Daphnia pulex: one gene and its partners. The main gene of each other region encodes a partner of the protein of the gene in region 3 in a complex. Links are inferred from orthologs where the notes say so. Each region holds a gene or a part of one and is shown on either strand. Other genes may lie near its edges. The genes, in order: actin-related protein 3, actin-related protein 2 and probable actin-related protein 2/3 complex subunit 2.

What was found.
Region 1: probable actin-related protein 2/3 complex subunit 2 (region 3) and actin-related protein 3 share a complex: the UniProt entries of both Drosophila melanogaster proteins name them as parts of the arp2/3 complex. The link is inferred for Daphnia pulex from reciprocal best matches to the Drosophila melanogaster genes Arpc2 and Arp3.
Region 2: probable actin-related protein 2/3 complex subunit 2 (region 3) and actin-related protein 2 share a complex: the UniProt entries of both Drosophila melanogaster proteins name them as parts of the arp2/3 complex. The link is inferred for Daphnia pulex from reciprocal best matches to the Drosophila melanogaster genes Arpc2 and Arp2.

Annotation. Positions count from the first base shown.
Region 1 is NC_060017.1:5,489,929-5,496,123, forward strand, and holds actin-related protein 3, read right to left. Parts: upstream 3,693-6,195; 5' UTR 3,530-3,692; coding exon 3,486-3,529; intron 3,378-3,485; coding exon 3,191-3,377; intron 3,003-3,190; coding exon 2,688-3,002; intron 2,617-2,687; coding exon 2,299-2,616; intron 2,218-2,298; coding exon 1,999-2,217; intron 1,874-1,998; coding exon 1,790-1,873; intron 1,701-1,789; coding exon 1,605-1,700; 3' UTR 480-1,604; downstream 1-479. Other genes in the region: RING finger protein B-like, read left to right, coding at 5,917-6,015, 6,116-6,179. UniProt on the Drosophila melanogaster protein: Functions as ATP-binding component of the Arp2/3 complex which is involved in regulation of actin polymerization and together with an activating nucleation-promoting factor (NPF) mediates the formation of branched actin networks.
Region 2 is NC_060020.1:5,357,369-5,363,522, forward strand, and holds actin-related protein 2, read right to left. Parts: upstream 4,079-6,154; 5' UTR 3,934-4,078; coding exon 3,886-3,933; intron 3,795-3,885; coding exon 3,684-3,794; intron 3,196-3,683; coding exon 3,116-3,195; intron 3,050-3,115; coding exon 2,914-3,049; intron 2,827-2,913; coding exon 2,617-2,826; intron 2,555-2,616; coding exon 2,405-2,554; intron 2,325-2,404; coding exon 2,046-2,324; intron 1,981-2,045; coding exon 1,813-1,980; 3' UTR 1,644-1,812; downstream 1-1,643. Other genes in the region: activating transcription factor 3-like, read left to right, coding at 1-41, 132-369, 487-697, 776-986; macro domain-containing protein CT2219-like, read right to left, coding at 4,648-4,848, 4,918-5,021, 5,086-5,205, 5,273-5,512, 5,570-5,678. UniProt on the Drosophila melanogaster protein: Functions as ATP-binding component of the Arp2/3 complex which is involved in regulation of actin polymerization and together with an activating nucleation-promoting factor (NPF) mediates the formation of branched actin networks.
Region 3 is NC_060024.1:1,047,005-1,052,413, forward strand, and holds probable actin-related protein 2/3 complex subunit 2, read right to left. Parts: upstream 3,222-5,409; 5' UTR 3,075-3,221; coding exon 3,001-3,074; intron 2,937-3,000; coding exon 2,843-2,936; intron 2,776-2,842; coding exon 2,676-2,775; intron 2,602-2,675; coding exon 2,467-2,601; intron 2,406-2,466; coding exon 2,133-2,405; intron 2,069-2,132; coding exon 1,839-2,068; 3' UTR 1,704-1,838; downstream 1-1,703. Other genes in the region: phenylalanine--tRNA ligase beta subunit-like, read left to right, coding at 1-207, 278-457, 526-780, 846-1,220, 1,288-1,489, 1,552-1,703; uncharacterized protein LOC124201224, read right to left, coding at 3,562-3,783, 4,032-4,157, 4,229-5,026. UniProt on the Drosophila melanogaster protein: Functions as actin-binding component of the Arp2/3 complex which is involved in regulation of actin polymerization and together with an activating nucleation-promoting factor (NPF) mediates the formation of branched actin networks.

The DNA of each region.
Region 1 (6,195 bases), on a different chromosome or scaffold from region 3:
TTAAAAAAAAAAAAAAGAAACGTTTCTTTTCCGAGCTCATTATGAATGCAAAACTGCTTAACACCAGCAATGGATCGGCATTCGGCAGTTATTTGGTATTTTTCGAATAACAAATTGTCCTTTGGAGGAGGCAGTATAAGGGGGGAAAAGGGAAAGATAACGATCTGGTATCACGTCATCTGGTTTGGAATTCCAACCGTCGAAAAACTCGTCCCTTTAGCCAAAACATTCCACGAAAGACAATTTCACATGTGTAGAAAAACCACCTTCGGCAATCAATGCCATCAGCATACAAAGCTGCCGAGCTTCTATGACGTCAAATCCCAACGACTCACACGCGATGCTCAACATTTTCGTTTCTCGATAAAACTAAAAAAAGATTTTTACATAATAATGGCGGAGGAAGTATGTGTGCATCGATATGTGGTCTATAGAGACATTCACGCAACCGAAATATATATACATATAGCCAAACAGAATGTATTCGGGTAATGTATTATCTAAATCCATGACATGCCAGTGACAAGAATTCAATTTTTTTTTTCTTCTTCATGTAACAATTTCAAATAATGAGAGAGGGGGAGGGAGCGATAGAACTGGAAGAAAAGGGGTGGTGAACGGCGGACTGATTGCGGATGAGCGAACGGAAAGCTGTTTGATTGCGTCTTTGATGCAACAAATAACGACTGTAGTGTGTTATTAAGTGGTTATAGAGTGATCAGGGATAGCAGGGTTTCGTGTATGAACATCAAATACGTTAGGGTCATTCATATCGGACAGGTTACTTTGCATTACGCCCCAATATCACCTTTAAGGGGCTATTGAAGACTACTATTTAGCTCTCAACGACTTGATTGCATTTGCATCGAATTGATTTCTTCATTTGCAACAGCGAACGCTTCCACCCAACCACACACTTGGCCTCGACGACAAATAGACAAGGAATGACTGTCATCCAATTATTCGGTATATGCTGAATCACTTAATAAAATTAAGGATGATAATGAACCCAGTTGATTATTTCGGCAAATAGACACCACGACGGCGCAAAGAAAGAAAAACATCTTTCTTTTCTTTTTTAGTAGAGACGGAAAATGGTAGAAAAGCCAACAAACAACAGGCACTTGAACAAATCCGGTTCTACCAATCAACTCAAGTTGCTCACCCTAAATCACCCATGAACTTAAAATTGGAAAGTATGTAGAAAAAGGAAAAAAAAAAAGGAAAAGTAAGACCAGAAGGAAGAGGAAAACAAACAAGCACCATCATTTCTCTCGAGTAAAAGGGGGGGGGGGGAGACAAGTCAACTTGGGAGAGGGAGGAAACGGGGTAGGCATGGTGTCAGGAAAAACAGCGGACTGGATTCAAAAACAAATGCTAGTAGGAAAAAAAAATTGAGGGTCAAATGAGGAAGGATAAACGGAGAAAAATAAACGGAAAAGAACTTGTTCACTTTCCTCTCTGTGAAAATGATAATTACATTTGATACGGCCCTCCTTACACATTGTTGAATTATTACAGAGGAAACCTCGATCTGATCGATGCCTTATGGCGCTTCCTTTTTGCGCGCTGTACCTTGATTTTTGTTTTTGTTCTACAGGTAATTATGTCATAGTACCAAACACTGGATTGTGCCTACAAATGCTCGGCCCGTACTCCTCATACGCAGCTTTAGTGTGACACACTTGATAAAATTCAGGCTGCAAACCGGGGAGAGAAAGCCAAAAAAAAAAAAAAAAAGATAAGTCAGTTAATTTCCTTTCTTACGTAATTTATCGCTATCACATACCGTTGAAGCAAGTAGACTTCCACCGAACCATACCGCATAGCGTTGCATGTGGTGCGATACCACTTGAACGTCAATAGGTTTCGGCTGTAAACCAAGAACAAAAATATTCAATTACAACTATTACGCCAGTTCCTGGATGTGGGAACCGTCGCGTATCCCGTTCAGCCAACCCATTCGACCACAACTCTTAAATACAAGTGGAAACTCACCGTCAGTTTGCCTCCACTCAGCTGTTCACTGATTTTGAGCCGAGCGTCGCTAACACGCTTGATATCTCGTTGCAACCGCCGACCAAAATCCTTAAACATGGTCGATCCACCCGACAATACGATGTTCTTGTACAATGGCCTCCTCACATCAATAGGGCAGTTTTGAATGACTGTGTCAACAACTTCTGATATAGGGGTCGTGAAATCGGGGTTGGCAAACTGCAATATCAAAATGAATGAAAACATGATTCGGTCTACAATAGCCAATGCAAAATGCAGACGAAAATGAATAAAATCTACCTCTGGGTGAAAGAAAATCTCGGGTCCTAAGAAACGCTCATAGCCAACATCAACGCCAAACGGCTGCTTGGTGATGGAATTGAGGCCTTCGAATTTCTGCATCCATTTATTGGGCTCAGCATCGTACTTGGCAAATTCTTTTGCAATATCAGGACAAATGTAACAGTAGCGCTCTTTAACAGCCTTGGCTGTCTCGAGCGATTGCTCAGGTGGAATGCCAATTTCTCTTTCACGGAGAAGGGATTGAATGAAATAGGTTATGTTGCGACCTGCAATTGGGATGTGCTTTATGCAACTTCCAATAACATATCCTTCAGCCTACAAAAATCAAGACAACAATTAGAAAGCGCCCAAATGAAAAGCAAATTATTTATAATAATATCAGTTACCACTGGGATCACATGGGTAACACCATCACCACTATCAATCACAATACCAGTCAAGGTTCTTTCACCCAACTGCCTTGAGGTCCAAGAGGCAGCCAGAGCAAGGACTGCTTGAACAGCTATGTACAGACCGGGAACGTTGAAAGATTCAAACATGATCTCTGCTGTGTACTCCCTGTTTTCCGGGGTGTTTAAAGGGGGTTCTGTTAGCAAGAAATGGTGGTCTTCTGGTTCTGCTCGCAGATATTTGAATATGCTCTGTTCTAAGAACCGCTCCATAAGGTCCCAATCTTCAACAATCCCATGACGTACAGGATACTGCAATGGTAATTAAACCAAAATGAATGATCTGTTTTCAATAATAACTATTTCCACTTGAAAAATAGCTGAATTGACAAATCTCATAAGTAAGGTGTTTGTTACCAATCATGTAAACAAACTGTCATTTGCATTAAAACTTACTTAAAAATAAGATAATTTAAGTTATGAATGAAAAAAAGTCATACTTTGACTGAATATCCCCCATTTCCTGCTTCGAGGGCTTCGTCACCAATAAAGAAGTCAAGATCTTCGATTCCCTTTCCTAACCTTCTCGAAGCTTGGTCACCAACCTTTGCTGTTTCTTTAATGGCAATGGCTGAAGGTATAATGTATTGAGGCTCTTTATTGCCAGCATAACCAAGCTTGGAATAACTAAAAAAAAACAAAAATTTATTAGAAGTGTTAACAACCTTTCCAGAATAGGCACACTGAGATGAGATTGCAGTCTGTCAGACAGACCAGACCAAAGCATATCCTTACCCTGTTCCGATGTCAATCACACAAGCCGGTAATCTTCCGGTCATTTCACACAATTATTGTTTAAAACCTTTAACACTATTTCTCTGATTTAATCCTTATTGTGATTAGACACAGAAATTGTAAACGAAATTAGCTTAATTCGAAACACCGGCAGCGTCTAGAGCGATGAGTGTTCAATCCCCACCCCTGGCAGTTTCAGACTACGGCCACCAGGTGGCAACAGAACTTCCTCTGACAATCTGATAAGGATTTTTTTTCTTTTTTTTTAATGAGACAAACATGGTAAGGTTATCTTATTTATCATATGCGGAGATAAGGCCATAGTTCAGTTATTCCAATGGTTAATAAACGGTGGACGTTAAAGAAGTAAAACATCCCATAACGATTGGTAAAATTGAATTGCGCCAGATTTTGAAGACATCTAGCGTGATTTGAATGAATCTGATTGAACTTTTGTGAAATCAGAAGGCAACCATATGTGACGTAAAAAGAAGTTTTCGTCATAAAAAAAAGATATTTTAAGGAACAATAAAAAAAATTTATGGTCTTGATGAGAAACAGAAAAAAATTTATCCGGAAATCCGGACCCTATCCTCACGAGTCGAAGATACCAGATACCCCTGCTCTTTCATCTTTGGTCTAGCAATCAAGTTTGAATTTTCAATTTAAAAAAAAAAAGGGTTGTTTCCTTTTCATTTTCTTTCCTACCATCTTTTGCTTCCTGCCCTTGAAACCAATTAGATTTTATTGGATGGGGCTTTCGTGGCAACCAACGGTTCAGTAAACGAGTAACTGGGGATTCTGATTCGGTCTGCAAGTCAAACTCACCATTCTATACACGCGCAAAACTCGCCACAGGCTATTTAAACCGAGACGGTAAATCTACAGGGGAGCATTTCATTTCAGTACGGCCATTGTGTTTGTACAATGAACATTCTCATCTTTTCCTGCATGACACGGCATTCCAACTAAATTTGAGACAGTCATGTTCTATGAGAATATTGACACTAAAAAGAAAAACTTATATCGCTAATATTCTCATTTCTTTATCTTAAAGGAAAATGTTGACTCTGCGTCACACCGCATCCTAATGGCTTTTGAATTTTAGCCCTCACTTTCGTATCTATCGCTCTATCAGCATATTACTCACACACAGCAATTGCTTTTTTGGGGGGTGACATAATCTTGCAAACTGTTAAGTACGTTAAAATTACCAGCCAAAGTGACGACAAATTTCAGCAAGTTGGCATATTTAATCCCATAAGCTATACTGACATTTCCCGATTCTAATGAAGTTGTACAAGAATACTTGAAACTTTCCCTTTGTCCATTCGCCCTACACCGCATATATCTCTCTCAAGTAGTTTCTTTTTAAAAACTCCATGAAGCAAAAGCGGCGGAAGGAACCACACAGCAACGACGTGACGATTTTTCTTTTAAAAGTCAACTTTATACTCGACTGGGATCGAGTTTTAGTTCACTCAGCTTAGCTACACCAAAGAGAGCTAATAACGTTCTCTTCTGCCAACGACAGGAAATAGAAATCCTCATTCAGGGCCCGTCAATATCACGTAATAAATATCGCTGGGCAACGCGCTACAAAAATAGTAGCTTATAAGAACACGGGTATATTGAAAACGGTTTGCTTCCTGTAGGATCAAATGTAACGATCGCCAATTTTTCTTTACAGACTTTTAGCACTTTTATGGACTCGTCGTCGGTGCTCTATTTTTACGTACTACACTGATACCTGTATACTATATAAATCTCTTTATAAATAGAGTTGATTATTGAAAAACATCACAACATTCACTTGCATAACTATATGCGTAGCTTCTTCCATGGCCGGAGGCCCTTTCAGAAAATTCTCAGTAAGTAAATTTCGGGTCTGATTGAATTGCTCGTAATCGAATAGCAAGATCCTATTCCGGTCCGAGCATGAGATAGTCATCACTTGACGTTTGAATATGCAACGTCTAGTCTCATCAATCCGATCAATACTTAGCTGAGACTTTGGCGCGCGTGCTCACGTTAGTCCAAGCCAACGTAACTCCTGGAAGCAGCACACGGAGAAAGAAAAACCAAAAATGGATGATGGAGGGAATCGGGGACGACGAGCCGTGGGGCTAGGGGCCGTGTTGGAAGGGGGGAAAAGCCTCTGCGCGCGCATCATAGTCCCACGACGCTTTCAATAGTAGCACACAGGAAAGGAGACAACCAGAAAGCTGCTTCTTCAGTTTTCATAACAAGCTTCAACCGCTTGAACGTCGCTCGCGTCTGTCTCTTAATCATCAGCGATTCTGTCAGGTATGTTGGGATGATTGACAACTGAATGTTAAACTGTAAAATGCTATAGTCAGTCATATCGTTCTATTTCTAGTTTCAAATAGCTATAACGAGCAGCTTTTCGAAAAAAAGGAGGATAACAAAAATGTGGAGCCCGGTAGTGCATTCGACGAAAAACGAAACGGGTCCCGTACCTCGGACACGCTTCAAACACGCAAGCTGTGTTGATCCCCAGAGACGAGTGGTATATATAAAAGAGACATTTCTTGACCAAGTTTCATCGATTCCCCCGTCAAATCTTTTTTTATTTATTTTCCTTTTTTCTCACTTGTATTTTCGATCAGGTTTATTTACTCGGCGGACGCTCTTCCAATATCCCCCTCAAAGATTTCTGGGTGATGGATCTCGGTAAGAGCATTGTCTC
Region 2 (6,154 bases), on a different chromosome or scaffold from region 3:
TCGAGTCGGATCAGCACGGCCACATGCCACTCAAAGATGAGGTATTTCTGAATTTTCCGAGTTTTCGTTTACTTTTTTGCGCGTCGAACAGCAGCTGGTAACTTTCTCGTTAATCTCCGTGTTTCGTGCGGATGGGACAGCTGACAACAGAAGATGAAGAACGTCGTCGGAGAAGGCGTGAGCGGAACAAAGTAGCCGCTACCAAATGTCGAAACCGCAAAAAAGAGCGAACTGGCATTTTGATGCAGGAATCGGACGCGCTCGAGGATCAAAACGTTAACTTTCGTTCAGAAATCCAAAGGCTGGAGGCGGAAAAGCGCCGTTTGATGGATGTGCTGGCCATGCACTCGCCCACTTGTTTAAAAACAGGTGAGTTTGACCCAGTCTAAACTTTTTCTTTTGCCGTCGTCTATCGTACGTGGTTCTTATTTGGTTTTTCAACTGTTTTTTTTTTTTTCTGTCTTGTTGTTGCTCATTTCAATTTAGCCGCCGGAAATCACCGTCCAACTCCAACCAGTTGTTCTTCCGACTTCATACAACACGATCCCGGCACTGGTACCGCTTCACAGGTAGGAACTCGAGGTGGTGAATCAGTTGTCTCGTTCGATCATCAGGTTGTTGTTCCTTCGGATCAGGCTTACGTCATGTCGGGCGGCCTATCCTCTTCCAATTATGGACCGATGTACGACTGTAACAGGTACACAAAGAATGCCTCCTGATTTGATTGTGAAAACCAGTTGAAATAATCTACCGAAATTTAATTTGGAATGCTCAGATCCAGTTCTGAATCTGCCGCCATGGCCGGCAATCATCATCATCACCATTCGTCAACTTATGACGTCACTTCCGAAACGTCTGCCGGTAATTACAACAACAACAGCGGCGAAGGCCCTCCGTCGTACGTCAACAGTCAAGTAAATTTGATCCAGCAGCGGGGCTCTTACGGCGGCGGAGATAATAACCTCTCTGGGCAGAATTACCGGTAAATAACATCATATAAGACAGGCGCAAACCACCTATAAATTTACTACCAAGTGCCATCCTTTTTTGTATACTATTATCTACTGCCTCTTTTCTGTATGTTTCTCCTTTTTCGGTGTCAAACGACAACAAATCGGGACCAACTAAATGATTTCATGACGTACATGTATTTATCCGTTTCAAATTGTTTGTTCTCCTTCTCATCGCCCTGCGCAAAGACTAAAAGGTAGAGCTTCGGAAAAAAATAAGAAAAGAATTGTTGTTTAAATGTCAAATCGTAGTCATGGCCGCCTTCTTATCTTCTTTGTGTTAAAGAAAATGCAAGAAGTCAACGGAAAAAAAAAACTACATTCATTCTCCTATACTACGCCTGTGCCTTATCCGAGAATTCACATATCCTTGTGTGCATTTCTTGCGGCTGTTTTTTTTTTTTAAATAATGACGTTGTTAACCATTTTAAACTATGGCTTCATGGTCGTGCCCAGTGTAACCTTTTAAAAAGGTATTTCCCTTCGTTTTTTTTTCTTTCTCCTGTTGTTGCCTTGGGAATGTTAAATATGTCCTCCTCTCTGAAATTATCTGCTACCACGGCCATACTTTCCCCCTATGTGCAATAATAAAATTGCTTGAGTTTTCTTCTCTCGCCTGATTAGTTGCTATAATTACAGAGGCTATTTTTGTTTATTCAGCCAGAATTTGGGGGTCAACAAAAATTAGGGAGGGCGGGAATGTGAACCCAGCAACATGAAAAAAAAAAATGGACATCTGATTAGTAATAACATGACCTTCGATGGGAATCGGAAAAGAGGAACGAGCGTTTAAAATTGCGCGTTAGGAGCGGTTGACCAGTTTGTCCAGCACGCGGATGCCACGCTCATTGTACTCTTCCCTCGACATCCAGAAAGATTCTTTGTCTTTCATGACATCGGCCAATACGGCACCACCAATGAAAACCATGTCTTTACGGCGAGGAGGATCTTCAATACGAATTTTGAATTTCTGCGTGCCAAGAAAAGAGTAGTAAGTAAAATGTACGTCTAGAACACAAAATTTCATCGTTGTACCGTAAGTTTCTCCGTGTCGCCTTTAAGAACTCGTTCAAGGTACAGCTGTTTGATTTCCCGTTCGAGCCTAGACGGAAGTCCGGGATACATGGTTGAACCGCCTGAAAGGACGATGTGTTTGTATAGCGACGGGCGGACATCGATGTCGGCCGCTTGGATAGTCGAGAAGACTAGCTCGGCGATTCCTGACCCTTCAACGTTGATCAAGTGAGGCTGGAAAAGCGCTTCAGGGGCTTCGAACCGTTCACCACCCACTTTGATGACGCGCCCATCTGGAAGCTTTTTTAGAAATCGAATTTTTTGGTTTTTAAATATGCCATGGCCACAGCGACTCGAAGGTAGAATAAAGGGAAACTTACTGTGTATGATTCGACTAAAACGGTTGTTTCGAGAGCCAGTTTTTGTTCCGTTTCAATGTTATAGCCAATATAACAAAGTTTTTCTTTCAACTGGCGAACAGTTTCAAAGTCTGCCGTATGATTGAATGCGTAGCCTCTCAGCAGCAAGAGCTATAAAGAGGAATATTACTGAATTCATGCCAAACTATTGCGGGATGGATCATTGATTCTACCTTGATGAGATATCGGGTAATATCTCTTCCGGCAATGTCAAGACGTCTGGTTAAGTGAGGCATTGCAAACCCTTCGTACACAGGACAAATGTGAGTGACACCGTCTCCAGAATCGACAACAACTCCCGTCAGCAGACCCTGTGCGTAAAGTGTTAGAACTGCTTGGATGGCCACGTAGGTTCCGGCAAATCCATATTTTTCGAACATGACCTGTAACAAACGGCACAAAGATTCGAATTTTTACACACCCATTTCCACCACCACCATTGAAACATGGTGACAATTAAAAACATTTACCTCAATCATTTTCTCGCGATTCTTCAAAGGGTTCATCGGAGGCTCTGTTAGCAAGACCTTACATTGGTGAGGGTCAATGTTCATTTTCTCAGGGCCAAAAGTGTAATCCCACACATGACACATGTCTTCCCAATTCCTAAGGAACACAAACAAGCAGATTTATAAACACCAGTTCAAATTTAATAAATGTATCGATATATACCTAACGATTCCGTTTTCCATAGGGTAGTTCACTTCAAGCATTGAGCGAAGTTTACTCGCGTCATCTCCGACCATTAAATCCTGTTGATAAAAGTCTTCATTAATTTAGATTCAATTAAAAAGAACACTAAGTTACATGCAACTAAACATCAATGCAAAATTCCAACAAACAATATCACACCATAAAGTGCTCAATACTTACAGATATGTGAGCAAATCCCTGATTGAAAGGCAAGCAATTAAGCCAAAATCATGATTCAGTTCATTAGAAAATAACAAAACCTTTTTTTACAATCAAAATCAAAACTCCACAAAGACATTCATGTTATAGGACGGCACAAGTTGGTTTTTTACTATCACTGTTATGACTTTATAGGTTTTTAAACTATATCTGTGTTATAAGAACATGACACAGATTTTTTTAAATGCAAAACATGTGAGATTCCCTCTGTACTTATCCTTGGAATGTCACCTTAATTTGATAACCCTAGAAAGTTTTGTGTGATGTCGAAACCATGGAAATGGACAGTAAGATCGAAACTGCTTGAAAGAAAAGAATTTTATCATACCTTCACTTCGATGTCACCAATTTTGTTGGCAGCGCGAATGATAGGTCGTCCAACCAAAGATGGGAAGATATGTGCTGGAAAGTTTGATCCTGCATATCCAACTTTGACAAACTATCCAACATTGATAAAGGTGAGTTGCTAGTTTGCTACATGGCCGGCAAAACAACATTAATAAATATTTCAAAAGAAAAAAATAACTCACCCCTGTTCCATTATCACAAACTAATACTTTTCTTCCTTGACTATCCATCTCAAAGTTTGTTAATAGTTGATTTTATATTGATAATCTCAATTCGTGAACAATACGACACACAATTTGACAGCGCCCTAAAACCAAAACTACTTCCCGTCGGAGCCAGACGATAGCAGCTCATGGGGGTTGGGAGTTGCCACGGCAACCGATTGCTTAACATCATTGGTTAATCCAGCTGGTTAATCAGTTAACTCTGGTTTTAAATGACTATCTCGAATCGTTATAAAATATTTGAGATAAAGTTTCTTAAAAAAAATTTTGAAATTGTAAAGTATAGATTTTAAATTAATTTGTGAACTACATTATTTTGATGCAATGATTTATCTGAAGAATTTTGGCAACGCCGTTAATCAACCGGGAAATTCAAAATGTTCAATAACAGACAAAAAAGAATTAAATAAATTAAACGAATGAATTGTATATGCATACTAAAGTCAAATACTCTTACCAACACTGAATATTATCCATTGAAGCATGCAACACTAGAACATCTTCTTTAAAGAACATGAAACCAAACTGGCCAAAATCATAGGAAGGCTGAGGAAACTAAATTGAGTAAATTCCTTGGCAAAGCAAGAACTTGATGATGCATTCAAATTTAAAAAGGATATTTCAAAGATTTTTTGCCATTCTTTTATTCCAAGCCTGTTCATGCTGTACACATGTTGTACATTACCAAATTTTCAAAATTTTTCATGTTATCAAATCAGATCACAAAACAGCCTTTACTGAAAAATATTTAGGTAGCAATTCTTGATATACTTTTAGATCTTTATCTAAAAACACACAGAATATCACTCTTTCCAATGTTGATTCATCACTTTCAAGAAATTTTCTTGTTGTTAACAATGCTACTGCAGCTGCATCTCTATTGGGGTAACCATAAACCCCAGTTGAAATGCAGGGAAATACCTAATTAAAATTTTGAAGATGAAGAAATGGAATCCCTAAAAGGTACTAGAATGTAAAATCATGACTTACTATTGTTTTTAGTTCATTTTTATTCGCAAGTTTAAGACTATTAGAATAACAATCAGACAGCAAGTTAGAGTCTTGGTCCATAGGTCCAACAGTCTGAATCACATCTGGAAACATAAATACTGTATAGAAACAGGATATCATTCATACTTTTTCTAGAGAAAAATTTACACTTTGCAGGTAGTTTGTATCCTCCTGTCAGTTTAGCATCCCCTGTTTGACAACCACCTTTGATAGATTGACATTCTTCAAGAAGATAAGGACCAGCTGCTTTATGAATTGCTCCATCAACTGTTGAGGTAACACAAAACATTGATAAACAATTTAGAAATTTTCAATATTCTTTATTAAATTTCACCTCCACCACCACCAGCCAACCTGCTATTGGCTGCATTGACAATCGCTCCAACTTCTAGTTGAGTTATATCCCCTTTCCAAAGAGAAACTTTAGAATTGATTGATAAATTGGGTTTTAAATCAGTATTGTTTCCATCTGATGTAGAATGGGGAATTTCTTTTGATGTCTCTTCCCAAGTTGGAATCTCTTTCACTGAAACACAATGTTGATTTCGAGTTGCAGTGCTTTTTTCAAAGTACTCTGTAAAGAATGTAATTACATGATAAAGCAACCACAGCCTTCTTCAAATTCTAATTATACCTTTGGCTTCCTGCCAATTTTTGAATTCTTTCGCCATAATGGAAATTGATTTATTGAAATATCCCTTCGGTATTAAATATTTACCAATCGTTTGAATGAAATACATACACTACGTTGTTATGTACGAAGCGATTTTCAGGCGATTTTTAGGTGTGTGTTAGTCAGCTGTTAGTACTGATCGGCTAGTCGGCTGCTGGTGATTGCCTAAATCTAAAGGTAAACAATTGCAAATCGTCATAATTTATTTTAAATTACATTAATATATAGATTATGTAATTCATTGATAATTCAAAGTTTTAATATGTAAAGTATTTGGAAAATTTTCATGTTGCATCTGGTATGTTCCTTAAAATATTTCCTTTCCGTTTTCTTTGAGTGTTTAGGGATTTATTGGTAAGCGGCTATCCTGCCATTTTCGTGAATGAGAAAAGTAGACTGAGTGTAGACGACGGAAGACATTTTGGATTGCATCTGTGAGCAACTTGCATAGGTAAATATATTTTACTGTGCGTCTCCTTTCTTGTTAAACTTTGTATTGCATTACCGATTAATTTGTTGTGAGATCTGTTTGTAGTTTCCAAA
Region 3 (5,409 bases):
AACACTTTCAGTAGCTTCATAGATCTTCAGGATAAACTACATCAAAACTTGTGCAGGAAACGTAGTCTTGTTGCAATTGGAACTCATGATTTGGATACAGTCCATGGTCCATTTTTCTATGAAGCACTTCCACCTGATTCAATTAAGTTCAAGCCATTGAGCCAGAGTAAAGAGTTTACTGCTTCTCAGTTAATGGACTTGTATTCAGTAATCTATCTATCAATTGTGTCATTTTATGCTTTTAAAAATTAAAGATAATCATTTTTTACTAATTCAGACTGATAGCCATCTTCGCCACTATTTACCAATTATACGCGATAGTTCAGTCTATCCTGTTATCAAGGACAGTAATGGAGTAGTTCTTTCTATGCCACCTATTATCAATGGTGAACATTCAAAAATTACCTTAGATACGAAAAATGTTTTCATTGAATGCACTGCTACAGACCTAACCAAGGTAAATTGCCTTTATGAAAATGCAATTTTTTAAATTGCTTCTTTAATTGTTTAAATGTCTTCTTTTAGGCTAGCATCGTTTTGGACACTTTGGTCTGTATGTTTTCTAGGTACTGCGGGGATCAGTTTACTGTGGAGATATGCGAAGTAGAGACTCCAGAAGGAAAAATCAACAACTATCCGATTTTAAAAAATCGACATGAGAAAATCAGTGTTGACAAGATCAATACAATGGTGGGTATCAACGAAAAAGCTGACGAAATCGCAAATTTACTCACCCGAATGTGTTTAACTGCCACCGTGGAAGGAACTGGTTCCATTTCGGTAAAAAAAATGTAATGGTTAAATTATAGGATTTTGAAAATTCATGTAAAAATATTCCCTGGCAGGTTGAAATACCCCCCACTCGTCATGATATCATTCATGCGTGTGATGTCTATGAAGATGTGGCGATTGCTTTTGGATACAATAACATAACCAAAACTCTACCGAAAACTAACACCATAGCTTCACAGTTTCCCCTAAATAAGCTGTCAGATCAGTTGAGAGACCAGCTTGCTCAAGCCGGTTTCACAGAGGCTCTCACATTTTCGTTGTGCTCGAAGGAAGACATAAGCGAAAAGCTGAGGAAACCTCTGAACTCCGTTCCTGCAGTTCATGTTTCCAATCCGAAAACTTTGGAGTTCCAAGTAGCACGCACGACCTTACTTTCAGGTTTGCTCAAAACTATCGCTGCCAATAGGAAAATGCCTTTGCCCATGAAGGTAAAACCTATTTATTTAATAAGATAAGTTATAAAAGTTGTAAAACATATGGTTTCTGTTCTTCAAGCTATTTGAAGTATCCGATGTGGTAGTGAAAGACAGTCAGCGAGATGTTGGAGCTCGTAATTGCCGCAATCTGTGCGCCGTTTATTACAATAAGTCGCCTGGATTTGAATTAGTTCATGGTTTACTAGATCGCTTAATGCAATTGTTGGAAGTTCCACTGGATCAGAGTGGCAGCAAGGGATACTTCCTGAAACCATGCGAAGGTTCATTTCATATACTGCATCAATATTTTGATTACCTTCTTCTAAAGCTATAAAATTTACAGATGCAACTTTTTTCCCCGGACGATGCGCCCAAATCATTTTTGCTGGCACTGTTGTCGGAATCGTCGGAGTCTTACATCCTGATGTTGTGACATCCTTTGATTTAAATCTTCCATGTTCAGCTTTGGAGTTGAATATTGAACCGTTTTTGTAAGCAGTTACAAGAAATAAATGTGGTCTGTCATTAATGAGAAGCTAGTGTATTATTGAAAAATGTGAAACTAAGCGTTACAATTTAATCAATGAAGAAATCCTAATTAGGTAAACAGGGAAAATGTGCATTTAAACATCATGGAGTACGAATGAAAGTACGGCCGGTGATCGTTTTCTTTTCCACCGTTTTTGGTTCAGGTCGAGCTCGGTTTAATACTTTCAAAAAATCAGAAGTTTTGGCTCTCATGCGTGAATGAATGTAGGCTTTGCTACATTTGATGTGGTAGTGCAAATAGTCACGGAAGAGATGAATCAAATTAATGGTATTTTCGCGGACGTTTTTGTTCGTATGCCGTGGAAACAAGACTAAAAAGAATTATGACATAAATTTTACAGAAATCCATGTGTAAAAATAGAAATGATTTCATACCAAATGTAATGTATCCAATATTGTCACCAATTTTAGCATTTGTACTTTGAAGTTCCAGAGGAGGTTCTCGGTGAGAAAAAAGAACTTGTGGGGCAGTGTGAGAAGCTCGGCGACCTTCGCGAAGTTCTTGTAAGAAAACTTTACCTAACACAATATCATCCTCATCACGGAATACAGTGCTGAACACTACTGTTACTCTGTCTGCCTTAGCTTCTATGTACAATGTCTCTTCATCACGATAATTGATAACTGCTCTCTTGTGCCCTTCTTCACCTTATTAGAAAAGAAAAATTATAGAATTTCAGAGTATTGCTTTTGCTCATTATTTTTTTACCCTTTTCCTGAAATTCAAAATACTTCTCAAAAACAGATGCAAAGCAATTTCTTTTCAGCAGTCCAATTTTTTTTACTATTTCTTCCCAATTGCCAGGTATGTTATCCAAATCCAAAACAAGGGAAATATTGTACCCTTCAAAAAAAAAAAAGGATAAATAAACAAAGAAGATAAATAAAACCTTTTCACCAATAGGATATTACACATACCATCTTCAGCTTGACATAGTAGGTTCCCATATTCTCTTTTTAGTAACTCATCAGCACCATGTTCCTGAAGGTCTTTATAGAATTTCAGTGAAATGCTAACCTATAAAAATAACAATTAATTAATCCTGCAACATTTCATTTATAAGGTTTTCTTTCTAATAACTTACTCGAACTTTGGATTTATCAGAATCAGGGTTGGCAATATGAAAAAGAACCCCATCGAAATCAGCAATGACTACATTTACGGAATCCGGTTTATTTCTATACAAATTAGGAATAATATGTTTCGTAGCAATTCAAAAACAAATGTATATAAATTATTTACCCGGCAAGCGAATTTTTTATTTTAACTGTAAGGGTATCTTCAACAATTTTGTTATTTATTTCCAGAAGAATCATCGCGACGAAATGTGAATGTGATGACTTGTATCACAAAATTAAACAAATTTCAACATAGTCAGCACACAAGGAAATGTTAATGTTATCTGTCACAACTCACAAGACAACCACAAAAGAAAAGGGAGTGGACTTGCCGTTTGCCAGATTTCAACAAAGCAGGTGCGGTACGCAAGCACCAGCATGGTGTCATAGACAAAGACCATGGTTGTTGATATAATGGTTCCCACTGTCTGTGTTATAAGGTCCCATAAGGCAGCTGATTTTTTTGTGATCTTTGGTTACTGCGACAGCCCCGCGACCTGGTGTTGGAAGGGTGGAAGCTTACACTGAAACAACACAGAAATTTTCTAAGTCCCTCGTAAACAAATCAGAGCTATGCGTACTTTGCGCATCCGTTAAACAGATTGATTGACGATTTTCTAATTAAGATTAATTTCAGATGATAACAATAGATTTCATTGGTTCAATTTATAACTTGTAATGTGTATTAACGGCAGTCAGTGGAGCTTAATAACTTCCTTATGCTTTCAAGACTCGGAAGTGGTAAAATTCCATTTGCTTTCAAATGTCTATATGTCTTGCTGCTTTTAAGTCGAATTTGAAGACAATGCATCAAAAATAAAGGGTCGTAACGCATTCCTTTCTTACAGTTATCTTTTCCCGGTTTTGCTTTAGCTTTGTCCATCATAGTTTTCACGATTAACTGTTCCTGATAGAGATTTGAAAAATCTATTAATAAACTGATATATGATATGGTCTTTAGTAAGTATGGAATGTCATTGTCAATCGTCTGGAATATTATTTTTGAATAGTCTTGCGAATAAGTTGGATTTCACAAATGTGAGGGTTGGAATAAGGAATGATATCTCTATCGAAATAATTGGAAAACATTGGTCAAATAGGGAAGCATACATATAGTCTAGTCATGAGGTAATTAAATTAGTATTTCATTGTTACCGTAGGACTCAGGCACTTTAGTTTTTCGTCAAAGTTATTCTTTTTCTGTTCCTTAATCAATTTTTGGTTTGTAATAGTCAAAGTCTGCTTTTCTTTTTCTAAATTTGACACAATTCCAGAGACCAACTAAAATTACAAATAGAAAATATATTAATAGTAATCGTATGTTAATTTATGAATAACAAAAAAATAATTACTTTTCCTTGTTGGAGAATTCTTCTCATTGCTAAATTTCTCTTTTGCTGTTGGTTTTTCTTTTGAATTCCTGTCCTCTCAGCCTTACAACCTAATTGTTTCTTGCGAGTCATCAGATATTTCTTAAGGAATTTGCAATTCAAACAAACATTGTTTTCAGTAAGTCCTGTGCACCGGTTAGATCGTATGATTTTTCCGTCTTTCACAGCGCTACATCGGGACGTCACACAAACATTCGCTAGTGATAGTTCAACAATTCCATCACACACATTGCTTACTTCCACGGCACCAATAATGTTAGATAAATCTTCAATTACATTGAAATTAGTCTTAACATTACGGGGAAATATTTGTTTTCCATTGAGGAACAATTCCACCTTATTCATGGAGACAACTGAGATTGTTTTTATTACAATTTTGCGATCTGGAGAAAATGAATGACTGAAACACACGAGGGTTTTGTTAACCTTATCTTCTTGCCACATCCACGAAGAGGAAGGTAGTTTGACTCTCGCAATAACATCAGTGTATGTAGCTGGGTCAAGGTATCCTTCCATTTCTGTCTCCCGTGCTGTTTGTTCTGAATTTTCTTGTAACATTTCTTCTGTCATTTCACCCGGTGCTCCAATCAGTTCATCCACTTCCATATCATTTGGTTCAAATTCTACTCTCAATTGAGATTCAGATTCAGATTGTAGTTCTTTTTCAGGTGGAATGTGTAGGAGTGTTTCAGTAGTAGGTTCCTGGAACATGTCTTCTGTTGTTACACATGGTAATGCCACAGGTTCAGCTGCTTCCATATCATTTACTTTTCCTTTTTCAGCGTCAAGTTGGTGTATAGCTGTAACATAACATGTCATGTTTTTAAAAAATATCTTATTACACTTAGTTTTTAATTTACCTATGCTATTTGACGTTGACTTCTTTGCATGTGATGGGATCAATACATTGGTGTTGTTATTCGACAAAAATGATTGATTGTCCAACTGCAGCTTAGGATTAGCAGCTTTAGACTTTGCTGTTATATTTCGATATGGTGACTTAAACCTATCACTGTGAACATACTTCTTTGCAGCAGGTCTTTCGAGTACGCTGACATCATTTCCTGTTAGAAACATACAGAATTAGCAGTATTAGTATAACTTAACATTGTCATGGATAATTAAAATTTGAGAATACCTAG